Coturnix japonica: one gene and its partner. The protein of the gene in region 1 purifies or fractionates together with the protein of each later gene. This does not show direct contact. Links are inferred from orthologs where the notes say so. Each region holds a gene or a part of one and is shown in the gene's direction. Other genes may lie near its edges.

What was found. Proteins that work in one complex are often made in the same cells at the same time.
Region 2: the proteins of BCL11A (region 1) and CHD4 purify together in Homo sapiens (affinity purification with mass spectrometry; 5 studies listed by BioGRID, with this or other methods). This does not show direct contact. The link is inferred for Coturnix japonica from reciprocal best matches to the Homo sapiens genes BCL11A and CHD4.

What each region holds. Positions count from the first base shown.
Region 1 is NC_029518.1:5,614,255-5,618,689, forward strand, and holds the start of BCL11A (B-cell lymphoma/leukemia 11A), read left to right. Parts: upstream 1-1,500; 5' UTR 1,501-1,515; coding exon 1,516-1,864; intron 1,865-2,891; exon of another isoform or gene 2,892-3,195; intron 3,196-4,435. UniProt on the Homo sapiens protein: Transcription factor. Associated with the BAF SWI/SNF chromatin remodeling complex. Binds to the 5'-TGACCA-3' sequence motif in regulatory regions of target genes, including a distal promoter of the HBG1 hemoglobin subunit gamma-1 gene.
Region 2 is NC_029516.1:69,341,434-69,345,076, reverse strand, and holds part of CHD4 (chromodomain-helicase-DNA-binding protein 4), read left to right. Parts: intron 1-2,288; coding exon 2,289-2,410; intron 2,411-2,522; coding exon 2,523-2,696; intron 2,697-3,008; coding exon 3,009-3,150; intron 3,151-3,586; coding exon 3,587-3,643. UniProt on the Homo sapiens protein: ATP-dependent chromatin-remodeling factor that binds and distorts nucleosomal DNA. Acts as a component of the histone deacetylase NuRD complex which participates in the remodeling of chromatin.

The sequences.
Region 1 (4,435 bases):
CCCCCCCCCCCCCCCCCCCGCGCCTCTGGCTTCAGCGATGTATTTACTTTTCCAGCGGGGGTGTGAGAGTGTGCGCGCTGCCGCTACCTTCTTTCTTTCTCCCTCTTTCATTCCCCTTTCCCCTTCCTCCCGTCCTTCTCCCGGGCTCGGGTACCGCTCCCCCCGCCCCCTCCTCCCTCGCCCCGCGGCCACTCGCGCCCGGCCGGCCCCCTCCGCCCTGGCCCCGGGGCCCTCCGGCGGCGTGCGCCCGGCGCGCCCCCTCCCCGCTCCCCCCCGCGGTCCTCGGCCATTGGCTTGTCCTGCTCTCTTTTTCATGTCCAGCCCCCGATGAGTGTCCATTGGTGTTGCCTTCGCCTTCCCTCCTCCCCTCTCCCCGGCTCGCCCTGCCCATGTTTTGTATGTCTCTGTCCATCCAGGCTCCTGACGTTCAAGTTCGCGGGGACGTCACGTCCGCACTTGAACTTGCGGCTCAGGGGGGCTTTTGCCATTTTTTTCATCTCGCTCTCTCTCTCCTTCCCTCTTTCCCTCTCTCTCCCTCTCTCTCTCTCCCTCTCTTTTTTTTTTTCCCCTCGCACAAAAAAAAAAAAAAAAAAAAAAAAAAAAGCCATGACTGCTATCCCACAATTCATCTTCCCTGCGCCATCTTTGTATTATTTCTAATTTATTTTGGATGTCAAAAGACATTGATGAAGATATTTTCTCGGGAGCCTCCTTCCTCCGCAGCCCGGCGCTCCCGATGTGAGCCGCGCGCTCCGCCGCCGCCAGCCCACCATGTCGCGCCGCAAGCAGGGCAAGCCCCAGCACTTAAGCAAGCGGGAATTTTCGCGTAAGTAAAACCGCGGAGCGACTCCCGCGATTCCCCCCGTGGCGGATTTAATTTTCCTTTCGAGCGAGAGCGGGAAGAAAAGAAAGAAAAGTGAGAGGAAGCGAGAGCGAGCGGAGCACCGCCAACTCCCGGCGCCCCGCGATCACGCTCCGCTCATCCCGCCTCGTCCCGCCGCTCCGCGCCCCGGCCCCGCTCCGCAGAGCGCCCCGCGCGGGCGGGCAGCGGCAGCCCGGGGCAGCGCGGCCGGGAAGGCGGTGGGAGCCGGGTGGGAGCCGGGTGGGAGCCGGGTGGGAGCCGGGCGAGAGCGGCGCGGTGAGAAAAGTCCTGCGAGCGCAGCCCGCCGCTCCCCGCCGCTCGCGTCTTCGCACCCTCCGCGGGGCCGGGGGGCTCGGGCGTGCGGGCGGCTCGGGCCCGGCCGCCTTTTGTTTCCGTGGCGGGGATGCGGGCCGGACCGGCTCCGACCGCCCCGGGGGCCCCGCCGCCCCACCTTCCCCCCTCCGCGTCCCCGGCCCCGGCTCCGGCTCCGGCTCCGGCTGGGGCGGGGGGCGGCCCCGGGCGGGCGGCCGTGGCGCGCCGAGAGGGATTCCCTCCTCGCCCTCGGCTCGTCTGCATCGCTCAGTTACTATTTTTTGGAAGATTTTCAAAAAAAAGTGGAAGTGGATTTTGATTGGGAAAAATCTCGTGTCTGAATGTTTACAAGCGCCGCGTGTGCGGGAAGCCTCCTGCCAACAAACACAGACAAGAGCGAGCCCGGGCTGAGCGCACAGCACACACGCACTCGCTCTCGCACTCTCGCACAGCCTCGAGCCCCGCGCCCGCGTTTAAGCCCCAAACCCAACGCGATCTCCCCGGGAGAGAGAAGCCGCAGCCCGGTCCCGGAGCGCCGCTCGCCGCGGAACCGCCGCTCTCCGGTAGCGGCACCGCGCTCCGGGCGGGACACGGTGAGCGGACAGCTCAGCGTACAACAAAGGGCACCTCGGGCTGCAGAGAGATGCGGGGCGAGGGGGAGGAAGGGACAGAAAATCCCCTTTTTCTCGGGTGAGCGGGCAGAAGGGGAAACGATAAACGCTACTCGTAGGTGCTTGGTTTTTTTTCGGTTTTTGTTTTTTTTCTTTGTTTTGTTTTTTTTTTGGTATTTTTTTTTCTTTCATTTCTTCCCATCTCTTTTCCCCATTATCCTCAGAGAGTGCTGCTCCCTCCCAGGGTCGGCTCAGGACCCGGCGCGATGCGTTCATTCCCCGCTCACGCTTTGCACAACTTTCCGAGCCTTCTTTCCTTCCCTCCCTCGCTCCCTCCCACCGCTCTCCGCACGTTCCCGCACGCGTTCCCTCTGCACTACGCCGCCGCTCGGCTCTGGCTCCTGGGGACGCCTCTCTCGAGGCGGGGGCCGCGACGCCGGCCGACCCGCAGCGCCGTCCCGGAGGGGCCGCCCCGTTCAGCTCGGCCCGGGCGACGGAGGGTCGCGTAGCCGGGCGCGGTGCGGGGCGGCCGCGGTGTTTCCTCACGTGTGCGGCCCCGGGGCCGGGCCTGGGGCGGGAGCGGGACCGGAGGAGCGGGACCCGGGAGCCGGGCGGGCGGGATGCGGCGGGCGGGATGTGCCGGGCGGTCGCTAGGAGGCACACCGACATCAAAAACCCCGCCGGCAGCGGACTTGAACCTGGCCGGTCCTTTGCGCCCGCAGCGCGGCCCAGGCTGGGGGGGAGGGAGGGCGCGCCGCCGGCCCCTTCCCTTCCTCTCGTTTCCCTGCCGGCCCCTCTCCCCTCGCCTTTGTTCTTCTTTTCGGCCGCTGCCGGCAGCGCGCCCGCCGCAGCTGCCCCCGGCCAGAACTCCCCGCAGCCCCCCGCGCCCCCCCGGCCGGCCGGACTCATTTTTATTTCAAATCGTTCTTATTTTTGGTGGGGGTGGGTGGCAACTTTTGCTCGGAGTTTGGCCCCGCTCGGCTCCCTTCCCCCGGGCCCCCCGGTGCCGCCGCGCTTCGCCCCCAGCTTCGGGCCACGAGCTCCGGCCGCACTTGGAGCAAAGTTGGCACGAGGCAACCACCTTTCCCCCCCCACAGCCCTGAAGCTCTCCTTTTTACGCTCCTGAGCCGGGCCGAGCCGAACCGGCCTCGGTCCGTCTGCGCGCCGCTCCCCTTCTCGCCTTTCTCGGGCAGGCGAAAATCAGCGCGGGTCCCCGCAGCCGGCGGGGGGAGATCGCGGTGCCTGGGGACGGGGAAGAAGGAGGGAGCAGGAGGGCGAGGAGGAGCGGAGAGACATGTCCATGGCAGAGCAATTTGCATTAAAAACAGGGACGAGTGATTAGGTGCCTAGGCAGGGAATTCAGCGTGCACAAAAACTAAAGGACGAACCCGGCAGCTCGGGGTATACCAGGTGAATTGTGGATTCGGGCTTTCTTTGGAGACCTGTTTTGTTGTTTGTTGGGTTTTTTTTCCTCCTTTTTTTTTCTGAGAGAGTACTAAGAACACGGCCGTGTTCTGCTGGCTCTGCCCAGTGTTGTGTGAGGAGTGCGGTGCCAGCCGTATTTCATACATTACTATATAATTCTCGTTAATTAGCAATAATTTACATTAAGAGCATAGAAAATGTTGAGGTTACGGGTTTTATATCTGTACATTTGATCATCTTGTTATTTTCAAGAACTTTGCCTCCTATAAAATTAATTAGGTGAAATGTGGAGGTGTAATCAGCAACCTCTGAATTACCACTTCATTTCCTGGGTTTGATTGTAAATCAGCCCCGGCAGAGAAGACTTTAGCAAAGTCTATTGTTGTTTAGCACTACTTTTAACTGTCTGGTGTCTCAGCACAACGTTTCCTTCCCCTGCTAAATAACACTGAGGCTTCAGAAATAAATCAGGCCGAGGGAAAACCTTGTAATTGAGGAATGGCTGCAGAGTTCCTCGCTGAGTGAGCTGCAGAGGGAACGCTGTTTATTTTGTGTGTTCCGCTGTGCACTTTTGGTGAGGTAGAAGTTGGATTTACAGCTCAGCCGCAATACCTTTGTCTCTGCTCTGCTCAGCGAGCTCCGGGAGGAATTAGCCCTGTGCTGCTTTGCTCCCTCTGTCCAAAGACAGGGGATGGCTGGGGAGAAAAATGGCATTCAGCAATCCTGCAGCCCATCCCGCTGCCCTCGGGTGCCAGGAATGCAGCCGCTTGCTCTCCGCGTGGGGAGGGAAAGCAGGTGATTGAGACATTGCTTTTGTCACTCTGAATGTAACCTTCATCCTCCCGTGGTTGACCTTCTGTTAAATGAGAAGTGGTACCAGAGGCAAGAGCTGCTGGGCTGCATCCCCGTGCCCTACTTGGAGCCGAGGTACGGGTGGCTGCCTGCTCTCTCTATATGATTTCATGCAGCACAACTGGGAGCTACTCTAGATCTTCCTCCCCAGTATTCAGCCTAGGCAGGGCTGAAATAAATTTGACCTGAGTTCACACGATTTTTGCACTTTATCAAAATCAGTTCCAATATCATGCAGCCAAATTAAAATCTATTTTTTGATTCTCTGTGGCTTTAAGTTCATTAAACGTGAAATTGGCAGCTAGCTAAAGAAGGTCAGACCCATTAACTGTTTAGGAGTTGCGTTCCGTCTCGCCCATGTTACCTGGTAGCG
Region 2 (3,643 bases), on another chromosome or scaffold:
ACAGGCAATTGATGTATACTAGAAAACAGAAAAACCTGGGTGTTGCCATTCTCGGAAATGGGCTTCTCTGGAAGTAGGACACATCTAGATCACCTCTGTTCTGAAAGGGCTAATCATATTGAGTATAGAGAAAGCTGCATGGGTTGCAGTTATTCTGCTTCCAGAGGAATCTTGCCTTCTGCATTCTTCTAGCTCTGTAACACAGCTAATTAGATGTTACAGAAATGGGAGAAGTGGGCAGGAGTGTTGAACAATGCCTGGGTAAATGCTGAAAGCCATACAGCTGTTTTCATATGAGGCTGCACCTTTACCAGGCTTGTTTTAATTCAGTAGAATTGACTGTACTTTCTTAATCCAACTCCTCCCTAAGCTCTTGTGTTTTAAATCTGTATTGATTGTCTGTCTTCAGCTACGTTCTAGGGCTTAGTACGCTAAAAGCAGCTGCTAATGAAAATCTGTTTTTTTTAGTTTCTTGCAGATTGTAAGACTAAGTTGCCTCTGTGTAGGGGATGAGAGGGGAACGGGAAGGAGAAAATTTAGCTTTAGCTCTTCAGATCTGAGTGTGGTATCTTGTGATATCTCTTATCAGCTGTGCTTGCAGTCCAGTTTTGAGATATTTTTACTGTAGGCACTGAGATTAGGTGCTGTTCTGTGCTTAGAATTGGAATTACTGGGAGCAGTACCAAATGCTTACTGTTCATACTCATTTTCATGAACTAAAAGAGGATATAAAGGCTCGGTGCTACACTATGGCTAAGAAACAATGGTTATCCACCAAGACAGTTAAATTTACCTTTTTCTAGAGGAGTTTTTTATCCCTTAAGGACAGCTTTAGGTATTTGTATGCAAGACAGCTCTTGGCAGTGTTGGTTATCTGCCAAATAGTGTTTTTTGCAGTTACAGTGAGTAATTCCCATATTTTATTCCAAGATAAGAATGTTGTTGGCTATAACTACATAGAACAATTCTAATGGAAGGCACTAGAAGAAATCCTTCTGGTATGATAAACCAAAATAAGTGGTAGTATATTTCTTCTAATATTTGTCACCTAGTACGAGAGCTGCTCCAAAAGTAATGCCTCCTATTTTATTATGTTGGCCCATGACATTAAATGTGGATCTTAATGATATGACAGTAGAGGTTTAATCATCTACCAGTATTGATAGATTTTGTTGCTGTGCGGCAGATGGAAGCAAAGGAGTAGTCTGACAAAATGGCACCTGACATGAAAGAGCATTTGAAGCAAAGGTGTTGCTGAATTCCTCCACGTGGACAAAATGGCACCCATTGACATCCACTGATGCTTGCTGAATGCTGAGCAGTGGATGTGAGCACAGTGAGGCAGAGGGTAGCATGTTTCAGTGCTGGTGACAGTGATGTTGAAGACAAGCCACATTCTAGACAGCCACGTACTGCTGGCAAAATGAGTGTGGAGTGCAGGTTTTTGTTCATCACTGGTGAAAATGCGTAGCTAATGGTGGTGACTAACATGGAAAAAAAATAGCATTTGGAAGCTAAGAACTTGCTCTGTAAAATAATACCGTTGTGCTCTTTGTATCTGTTGTAGTTTCCATGGAAATAAATAGGAGGCGTTACTTCTGGAGCAACCTACATACAAGCTACTCTCATTCAGTTTGACATTGTGTCGTGTTAAGTATAAAAAATAAGTCCATAAATAAATTACTACTTTATTGTCACTTTGTGCTAGTGAACATTGTATACTTGTGCTTTTCAGTTCAGTACCATAACTGCTCGCTGGCTTTGTCTAGAATTACTTCATTGTTGTGAGAGCTAGCACAAATTACTTTAAGGATATATTGGCAAACCCTTGACTCTCTCTCCTCTGCTTGTTCAGAACTCTGGAATGCTGCCAGAATTGATATGAATAGGAAGAGTGACTTAGTTATTTCTAGAAGTCTTGAGGCAGAGAAGTAAAAATGTAGAATGCTAATTTAGGAGGAAAAGTACATAGTATAGCAATGTGGAAATGATCATTGGTTTGAAAGCTTGTAACTTAAAAAAAGGAACCTTTTAGTACCTGGTGACTTATAGGACCTGTCACAGTCATGTTTCAATTATGCAGAACAGTGATGCGAATGAGATCAGTCTAGTGATGCAGATTGGAATGGCAACTACTAGGAGCACTTGTCCAAATAGCTGATGGGGAATCTAAATCAAACTGTAGCTTGCTTTTTTTTTTTTTTTTTAAGGGTATTTTTTAGTAGGACTATGACTTCTTTGCTCATGTTGGGTTTTTTTTCATTCCTTCCCTGCTCTCTACTTTACAGTTTTTCCGTGTGCTGAATGGTTATTCCCTCCAGCATAAGCTGCTGCTTACTGGGACTCCGCTCCAGAACAACCTGGAAGAGCTCTTCCACCTGCTCAACTTCCTGACACCAGAGAGATTCCAGTAAGCCTTGCAATGAAAATCCAGGCCAAACTTGCCTGTCTTGTCACTCCTATCCCCCTGGTTTTGTTTGGGTTTTTGTGGTGGCTTTTGCTTAGTGTCTGTTTCTCCACAGTAACTTGGAGGGCTTCTTAGAAGAGTTTGCAGATATTGCCAAGGAAGATCAGATCAAGAAGCTACACGACATGCTGGGCCCACACATGCTGAGACGCCTCAAAGCCGATGTTTTCAAGAACATGCCATCTAAGACTGAGCTTATTGTCAGAGTGGAGTTGAGTCCTATGCAGAAGTGAGTGTGAGGCTGGAGTGATCACCAGCTGTTGAACTACTTCTGTTTTGTTCTGCAGTTCCAAAGAGGGTGTTGAAGTAGACTCATCCTCACTGTAGGGCTTTCTGCACAGTGGATGGGAGGGAGATTTTGAGTCCCCACAGAGGGGAGGAGTAATCCTGTAATAGAGGGATGAAAAGAATAGTAACTGCCACTGGCAGAGCAGTCTAGGTAGCTGACAGGTAATGCCAGGAACCGTTCAGACATGAGCAAGTGTATGTTAGTTATTCCTGTGAGAGGTGTTTGAGTTTTTGTTTTCTTTGTTATTTTCAGGAAATACTATAAATATATTTTGACACGGAACTTTGAGGCACTGAATGCACGTGGTGGTGGTAACCAAGTTTCATTACTCAACGTTGTTATGGATCTGAAGAAGTGCTGTAACCACCCCTACCTCTTTCCTGTGGCTGCTATGGTATGTCCTGCTGCTGACTTATTCTTACGTAGATGAATTCCCAGCTGGCTGCTACTGGGGAGCCATTGAGCTCCCTGTGAAGTTTAGGAGACATTCTCTTTTCTGTTCTTATGCTTCTGTCTATTTTTGTTTTTCTTTGTGTTAATCTTGTGAACTGGAAGTCCTCTCCTTTTCCAGTATCTTTATTTTTTGAGTTGGAGTTATCTTGTGACCTATGCAGAATGGTGGAGACAGAGTAGGGACTGAATTAGGAAGAGGATATCTAGGAGATGAACAGAGAAAATGCGTGGGGTAATGCTGTTTTGTATGAGCAGTGCTACGCATTGCATCCAGTTAACTCGAGCGAGTCAGCTTCTGATGAACACAGGAAAGAACTAATGTCAAGGTACATATGTATTCTAACAGTTTTCTTTCCTGCCCCACTCTTTCTTTTCAGGAAGCTCCAAAAATGCCAAATGGCATGTATGATGGTAGTGCTCTTATTCGAGCATCT